2 linked regions of the Macaca mulatta genome follow. The protein of the gene in region 1 purifies or fractionates together with the protein of each later gene. This does not show direct contact. Links are inferred from orthologs where the notes say so. Each region holds a gene or a part of one and is shown on either strand. Other genes may lie near its edges. The genes, in order: ZFC3H1 and MPHOSPH6.

What was found.
Region 2: the proteins of ZFC3H1 (region 1) and MPHOSPH6 purify together in Homo sapiens (affinity purification with mass spectrometry; 3 studies listed by BioGRID and IntAct, with this or other methods). This does not show direct contact. The link is inferred for Macaca mulatta from reciprocal best matches to the Homo sapiens genes ZFC3H1 and MPHOSPH6.

What each region holds. Positions count from the first base shown.
Region 1 is NC_133416.1:78,740,365-78,743,725, forward strand, and holds the end of ZFC3H1 (zinc finger C3H1 domain-containing protein), read right to left. Parts: intron 2,821-3,361; coding exon 2,719-2,820; intron 2,038-2,718; coding exon 1,998-2,037; intron 1,698-1,997; coding exon 1,635-1,697; intron 1,506-1,634; coding exon 1,368-1,505; 3' UTR 537-1,367; downstream 1-536. UniProt on the Homo sapiens protein: Subunit of the trimeric poly(A) tail exosome targeting (PAXT) complex, a complex that directs a subset of long and polyadenylated poly(A) RNAs for exosomal degradation. The RNA exosome is fundamental for the degradation of RNA in eukaryotic nuclei.
Region 2 is NC_133425.1:77,532,727-77,537,210, reverse strand, and holds the start of MPHOSPH6 (M-phase phosphoprotein 6), read left to right. Parts: upstream 1-1,388; 5' UTR 1,389-1,398; coding exon 1,399-1,449; intron 1,450-4,484. UniProt on the Homo sapiens protein: RNA-binding protein that associates with the RNA exosome complex. Involved in the 3'-processing of the 7S pre-RNA to the mature 5.8S rRNA and play a role in recruiting the RNA exosome complex to pre-rRNA; this function may include C1D.

The sequences.
Region 1 (3,361 bases):
AATCGCCCTGTCTGGTAAAATATGGTTCTATTTTTAGTGAGCATTATACAAATGTAAACATGTACAAGTTTGCCTGGTATTTCATGGGGTTGCTGCTCTGCCTCTAACAGTTCAAGTGCAAGTTGTTAAGACCAGACTTGTGGTGGTGTGTGTGTGTCATTAACATTTTTCTTGCCAAGGTTAAAACAACCAAATATAAACTGAAAACAAAATAAAAAGCAAGGTCTCCTTTGCATTCAATCACACTGATATTCAACAGAAGATGGCATGTCACTAGGCAAATCATTCAAACTACAGTTGGGAGGCACCTTCTAAACACTGTGAATTTGAGAACAAGGAATTTAATGGTAGTGCAAACCTCTCTGTTCACTGTCCTCACAACAGTATCCATCTTCTCATGAATTAAGAAATCATTAAATTTTTTTTTTAATGAGAAAGCAGTTTCAAGATAAAAAAGTATAAGTTATGGTAAATATCTTTATCTCCGACTTCGACCCTTTCCCACCAGTGTGAAAAGTGAATAAAGACAGCAAGAGTTTTTAGAAAGTTAACTTATATTAAAAAAGTATATAAACAATTTTAATACTACAAAGTAGTATTTCAATACAAAGCAGTTCAAATATTAACTGTTCTTTAAACTGTTAAACTTTATTATAAATTAAAATTTCTTTACAAAAAAATTGCACATAATATTTGACCACTCTTAGGTTCTGATGCACTGGCATTTGCAATAGTTTCTTTAATCTTCAAGTTAAACAGTCTCGGCAAGGAGTCCAGAACGTAGAAAGGGCAATAAACAACCCTGATAGAGCATTCAAGTGCAACTAGCAGACTTGTGGCCATGGCAGTTACACTTTCCTTAAGATGGACTGCTATAGTTTTAAATCCTGAAATGAAGAATCTCAAAAAAATTTAAAAAGGAAAAACTAAAAGGGACTGCCTGCTTTTTTACTGTAAACACAGCCCTGGATATTAAATCCCAAACAGGAATCTCTCAGGCATCAGAGAGTGTCAAGTGAATCAGGAATAACACAAAATAAAGGAATGGGGGAGAAAATAAAAAACAAAAACAAAGCAAAATTAAAATAAATGTCAGTCACTTTGAGGAACTATACTTACGTATATGATGTTATGAGAATCTGGCAGGGCCTAGAAGCAGGCCAAACAGGAAGTTCATTTATCCAACCGAAGAGGATCATGTTCATTGCTTCCGGTTTTGAGGACAGGATATTGTAGGGAACTTGATATGATCAATAATGCTTGTCTGCCTTACATAGACCTTAGCCAGGGATCAGCCTAATCTTGAAGAATCATTCAAATAATTTTGGCAATTATTATAAGGACTTAGAACTGACTGCACCCAGTGTTCAGTGATTCTTGCTTTCTGTTTTGTTACTGTTTAAATTTAAGAGCTCATTTAGGCTGACTCCAATCTCTTGGCACTTGGAAACTAGTTTTCTCAGGTTATCAGTTTTACCTCCTTCTGATGCTTCAAACAAGAGTTGCTGTAAAAGACAGGGAAGCATAGAAGTAAGACTTAGCTAGAGTTTGAGCATTACCACATCAATGGATATGGCACATGCAGAAAATTTACAGGAAAACATCAAGATAAAATAAAAGATAAAAAGCATTACATCTTTCCACAGTGATGCACAAAGAGGTAACTTCTGTAAGGCTCTCTGATATAAACGGTGGACCTGTAAGATAGATATACACATAATTCCATCAGAAAACATAATGAAAAACACCTTCATAATTCTATCTGTTTAAAGAATGGTAATTCACAGTAACATCTGAGACAAAATGGTTATGCTGAGTTTTGGAGTTTCCAAATATTTGGTGCTCTTAAAATGTTAACTACTTTTGTTTCCCCACCTGGTTCCTAGTGTGCATGAAATGTTAACTTCTGTGCTTTAATTCTTTTAAATTGAGAAGTCAACAAAAGGTACAGAAAAACTTTTTAAAAGTGACCCATCTGATATTCAACCATGGCTTACCTCTCTTTGTCCCTTTAGAACAATCTCAGCAGCAATGGCTCTAAGGAAAAAAAAAAAAAAAAAGGAATACAGAAAAAGGAAAAGAAAAATTTATATATCTTTGAACAAAATGAAACACCACCACTGGCAGAATACTGACTGTGGGAATCTGAGTACAAAACTTCCTGAAAGTTAACAGGCTAAACTTCCAAGGAGGAAAACCTATAGTGAAAAGAAAAATTCAACAATTTTTATCAACTTTACAAGAAAAAAGCAGACCAGTGTTTTGAACATAAATAACGTTCACGGGAGGAAAAAAAAACAAAAACAAAAACAAAACACCTCATAATTACTAGTCAAAAATACCTAGCACTAACACCTTTAAAAGAAAGAAGAAATCAGACTATAACAGGGTAGACACACCCCATTTCAAAAGAGGCGGTCTTAAAATGACTGTAGCAGATTTGTTTGATAACAGTACTGTTACTTAAATGTTCTCCTTCAAAGAAAATTAAAAGTCTACGCTTTTTGCTTTTAGAGGCAATTCTTAATGAGTACTCACTCTCATTAAACCTCAGTAAATGCTAAAAACAAATCTAAATTAAGAATAGCAATCTGTCCATGAAAAAAAGAAAAAAAAATACATATATATATAGATGTCATTTCAGATTTTACCTGTCTGGAGCAAACCTTATAAATAAAAGCAATAGCTATAAAAACATGTACATGATTGTTGCATTACATTTTCCAGGTGGCCAGGCATGTTGGGATATTATATGTAAACATCTTGGCTTGAAGTTTCAGAATCTGAACATTGCTTTCTTCCCATTCATGCTGAAGTAACCTGTAAAGTATATTCAGGAAAATGAACAAAGCATTGCAGTGTAGGGAACCCCAAATGTGCTCTATGAGCACAATGATTAAGTATAAATCTTGATTAGTTAAATTCCATAAAGGCTACCCAGCAAATATTTCAGAATGTCTCTTACAAAAATTACCCTGGGACAGGAATGTGCAAACTATGAAGAGGTCAAGTCAAGATCTATGCTCATCTTACCAAACTACACTAAGGTGCATGTATTTCTATAGGACATAAAAGCATTCCCTCCAAATAAGAGTCCCTATTTCCCATCCCATTTTTTTTTTAAACTAATGGCTTGATACTAATGCAATTTCCTGGTATTTTTCTTTCTTAGAGTATGATCAATCTTGAATATTTCTTGAACTAAAATGCATGTATAGTAACCATAAACTAATGCAATTTCCTGGTATTTTTCTTTCTTAAAGTATGATCAATCTTGAATATTTCTTGAACTAAAATGCATGTATAGTAACCATTAAAGTTCTCTATTCTCCTGGAAAAAAAGAACAGGGACGACCAGAGG
Region 2 (4,484 bases), on another chromosome or scaffold:
TACCCCGGCATCTCACACACAGTCACAAGTGAATAAGATTCCGTAGCCACTTAGTACATTACAATGATTTTATTTACTCCTGGGAAAACCTCAAGGGCTTTTAACATCCAAATCGGTGTTTGAATTTCAGCTCTAACATGGATTAGCTGTGTGAATTCCACCAAGTCCCTTACCCGCTCTGTGTCTCAGAATTCCTAACAACACGATGACAATACCTTCTTTCCGGTTCTTAGGGAGATTAAGCGAACTAATTACCCATAAGGTGACCAGGTCAAGAATCTGACATAAAATCTATGCTATCAGCTGAAATGCTATTAGCTTGAGGGTGTTCCAAAGCGTCGGACCTGGGAATGATTTTTGAAAACGTGTTTAGTTGGTACCCAGAGCATTAAACACCAGGGTATGAATGCCACTCTATTTTCAGTGGTTTTTAAAATTCTTTTTTGTTTTGTTTTTGAAACAAAGGCTTGCTCTATAGCCCAAGGTGGTGTCCAGTGGTGGGATCTCAGCTCACTGCAGCCTCGACCTCCCGGGTTCCAGTGATTCTCCAGCCTCAGCCTCCCAAGTAATGGAGACCACAGGTCCGTGCCACCACACCCACCTATTTTTTTTTTTTTTTGGTAGAGATAGGGTCTCACTATGTTGCCCAGGCTGGTCTTTTCAATTCTTTAGATCAAAACCAAGCCTTCTTCTCATTCAGGTGTCTTTGGCACCCATCCCTGCCTCCATCCCTTGCAGTTTCTTCAGATTCTTCTGTTTAGCAGGGATCACTCGGCCAGACACGCACCGGCAGCAGCCCGGGGATGAAGCCAGCCCGCCTGGGGTGGCCCCCGCCACGCTCCCCGGGACTCAGGGCTGCTGTAAGGAAAGCAGCAACTCGTAGGGTCCTGGTGAAGAGCAAACGACCTGGCCCCTGCACAGGGACCCAGAACACAGGAAGCCCGCCATCCACGTTAGGAAAACAATACACGTGGGTAACCAGACCCAGGCGGGTGGCACGCGTGACGCAAACCTGTGAGGCTGGCGAGGACTACTGAGTCTGAAGGGAGTCTCTGAGGAAGGGAGTCCCTGAGCGAGGATGGGTCCCCGAGGGGGCCAGGCCGACGTCCCGGGAAGGCGGCCCCCGGCTCGGGGAAGCCAGGCTCTGGGTCCTCCTCTGACTTTGGCCTTTTTGGGATCTGCCGCGCTCATCCCCGCGCCACCGCGCCGCGCGCTTACCCCAGCCTCTCAGTCACCAGAGCGCCCGCTGAGTGGCCGCGCCGGCGCGCGACACGCAGCGGCGGGGCCGCGGGGCGGAGCGGGGCGGTGCGCTTTACGAGAGCGACGCAGCTGCGCACGCGGCTCCGCGCATGTGCAGTGAGGCTCGCGGCCGGAGTGCGGCGCTGGGCGGAAGCCACCATGGCGGCCGAGCGGAAGACAAAGTTGTCCAAGAATCTGCTGCGCATGAAGGTGCGGGGACACTGAGAGAGCCATGCCGGGCGATAGGGGCACCCGATCGTTCCGACCTGGCCAGGGCCGAGGCGGCGGGCGAACGAGGGACACCAGAGGGGCCTCAGAGGGCTTCCAGCTCTCGTGCTCATTCATTCACTTAGCGCCTGCTCTGCACTGTTTACTGGGAACCGGGTTACGAATTAGGCCGACTCTCAGGAGGCCCACGGGTGGATGGGAGCTCGCATACACAGGAGCAAGCAGTCAGGGTACAGCTTACCAAGTGCAGTGAGGGTAGAAGCGCCGGAGCCCTGGGAACTCACCCAGCTTCTCGCGGGGTAGTGGTCCCTTTAGGTTCCTGGGAGGGTGGGAGGCACAGCGTCCTAAACTAGGAGAAACCTGAGTTCAGAAGTCCACGAGGCAAGAAAGAAAAAGAAAACCATGGAGATTTCCAAGAATGAGAGGTAATTCAGTATGTCTGGAAGGCAAGTACTAAGAAATGGGGTTGCAGAGTAGGCAGTGGTCACAACGTGCAGGAAATTTGAGGCCAGATTAAGGATATTTTCCTTTATTTTGTGAGCAATGGAAAGCTATTGACACGGGGAACAGTATAAAAAAATAGCAACTATTTATAGTACTAGACAATGTTTTAAGGGGTTTGCGTATATTAACCTGTGCAATTCACATAATGACACTTTGAGGTGACTACAGGCAATAACTCTCTTTTTACAGTTAAGGCAACTGAAACAGAAATAAGTAACTTACTCAAAGTCGCACAGCTAATAAGTAGTGTAGACAGGACGGGAACTCAGGCAGTCTTGCTCCAGAACCCTGGCTCTGTGTTACTTACTCTGTGATGCCTGTCACTGAGCACTACTTATAGAGGGTAGCAAACTGTTACATGTCATGTTTAAAGAGGTCGAATTTCCAAAAGAAGGAAGGAAGCGTTCATAATGTTTTGAAAGATTGGAGAGAGAGGCCATTCGCAGTGGTTCATGCCTGTAATCTCAGCACTTTGAGAGGCTGAGGTAGACAAATCGCTTAAGCCCAGGTGTTTTAAGACCAGCCTGGGCAACATGGTGAAACCTCATCTCTACAAAAGATACAAAATATTCGTTGGGCCTTGTGGCACGCACCTGTAGTCCCAGCTATTTGGGAGGCTGAAGTGGGAGGATCACTTGAGCCTGGGAGATCGAGGCTGCAGAGAGCTGAGATGGTGCCACTGCACTCCAGCCTGGGTGACAGAGGGAGACCCTGTCTCAAAAAAAAAAGAGAGTAAACATTACATGGGCAAGATTTGAATGGAGTTGAGCTAGGATGGAATTAGGAATGAATGGGTGAATGAGGATGCAGGACAAATTACATCTAACTTAGAGTTTGTCAAGCACTTTCATGCATATTAGGAAAATTTGAATCTTTACTGAACAGAGTTTGCTTTTGATTTTATGATTTGTAATAACATTAATTTCAGAGAAGTGGAGTGAACTGGCCAAGCAGATATTGAAAAGATTTTAGCAGTTGTTTTAGCTCTTGGAATAAGCCAGATGATGTACTGGGTGACTCAGGCTCAAACTAAATATCTGAGTTGCAACTAAGAAGGAAGAAATTAACTTAAAACAAGTGTCCACTCCCACCAAATGGGGAGACGCAACTGGACATTGGAAGCAAAGGAGAAGGAAAAAGATCACCCAGATTCTGTATTTGGTTTAGCAGTTTTGGTCATTGATGAGAAAAAACTTACTGGCAAGATAGCAGGAGACACTATCTATACTGATAGAAAAGAGTATACTGTGAGAAGGCATGGAACAGCTGCACTTAGGGTGCCTTAACCAGAGCTAAGTCCTATATAACATGGGTCCCCAACCACTAGGCCACGGAGCAGCACCAGTCCATGACCTGTTAGGAACGGGCTGCTCAACAGGAGGCGAGCAGCAGGCAGCAAGCGAGTGAAGCTTCATCTATATTTACAGCTGCTCCCCATAGCTTGCATTACCACCTGAGCTCCGCCTCCTGCCAGATCAGTGGCAGAATCCTAGATTCTCCTAGGATCAAAAACCCTACCGTGAACTGCACCTATGAAGGATCTACCTTGAGCTCTACTTATGAGAATCTAATACCTGATGATCTGTCGTTGTCTCCCATCACACACAGATGAGACTGTCTAGTTTCAGGAAAACAAGCTCAGGGCTTCCACTGATTCTACATTATGGTGAGTTGTATAATTATTTCGTTACATATTATAATAATAGAAACAAAGTGCGCAATAAATGTAATGCACTTGAATCATCCCTAAACCATCTACCCCTCCCCTCTCCACCACCCATGGAAAAATTGTCTTCCAGGAAACCCATCCCTGGGGACCACTTTTTAGGGCAAGTATGAGAGGGTTGAGGATTTAATCCTGACTCACTTGAAGGCCTTTGACTTGGTCAGCCATTGCAGGATGATCCCGATGGGAAGCAGAAAAAGAAAGATGTGGATGGAAGGTCTTCCAGTATGGAATGGTTGTAGAAAGGGTGCTTATTTGTGATTTTAGTACTGTTAGACTTTTAGAACAGGGCTTGGCAAGCTTTCTGTAAAAGACCATATAATAAATATTTTGGGCTTATGAGCCAGACAGTCTCTGTTACAACTACTCAGCTCTGCCAGTGTTGTTTGGGACAGGATGACCATGGCTGTATCAACAACAACGGACATCTAGCCTGAGGACCATATTGTGCTGTTGCCTGCTGTGAGTCCCCACTGGTTTTGGAGTGTGTTCTGAAATGCCCTAGAGTAGGAGAATCGAACTTCTACCTAAGTCTGGAGGTGCTTGATTCATATTCACAGGGAGTTCTATCCTTTCTGTGTGTACAGAACATATGTATATGGCTATTTTGTATACCAAAGGAATAGGTACATGACTAAATAGGAGAAATAAGGGCAGTTGGGTGGTATTGATGAGTTTTACCACGAGGCATATTAGTGATGAAATGAGGTATATGCACTTAAAAAAAACCATCCCAGAAAGAGAGTCTGGAAAAATAAGACAAGTCTAGGTTCATTTACATTCAGAG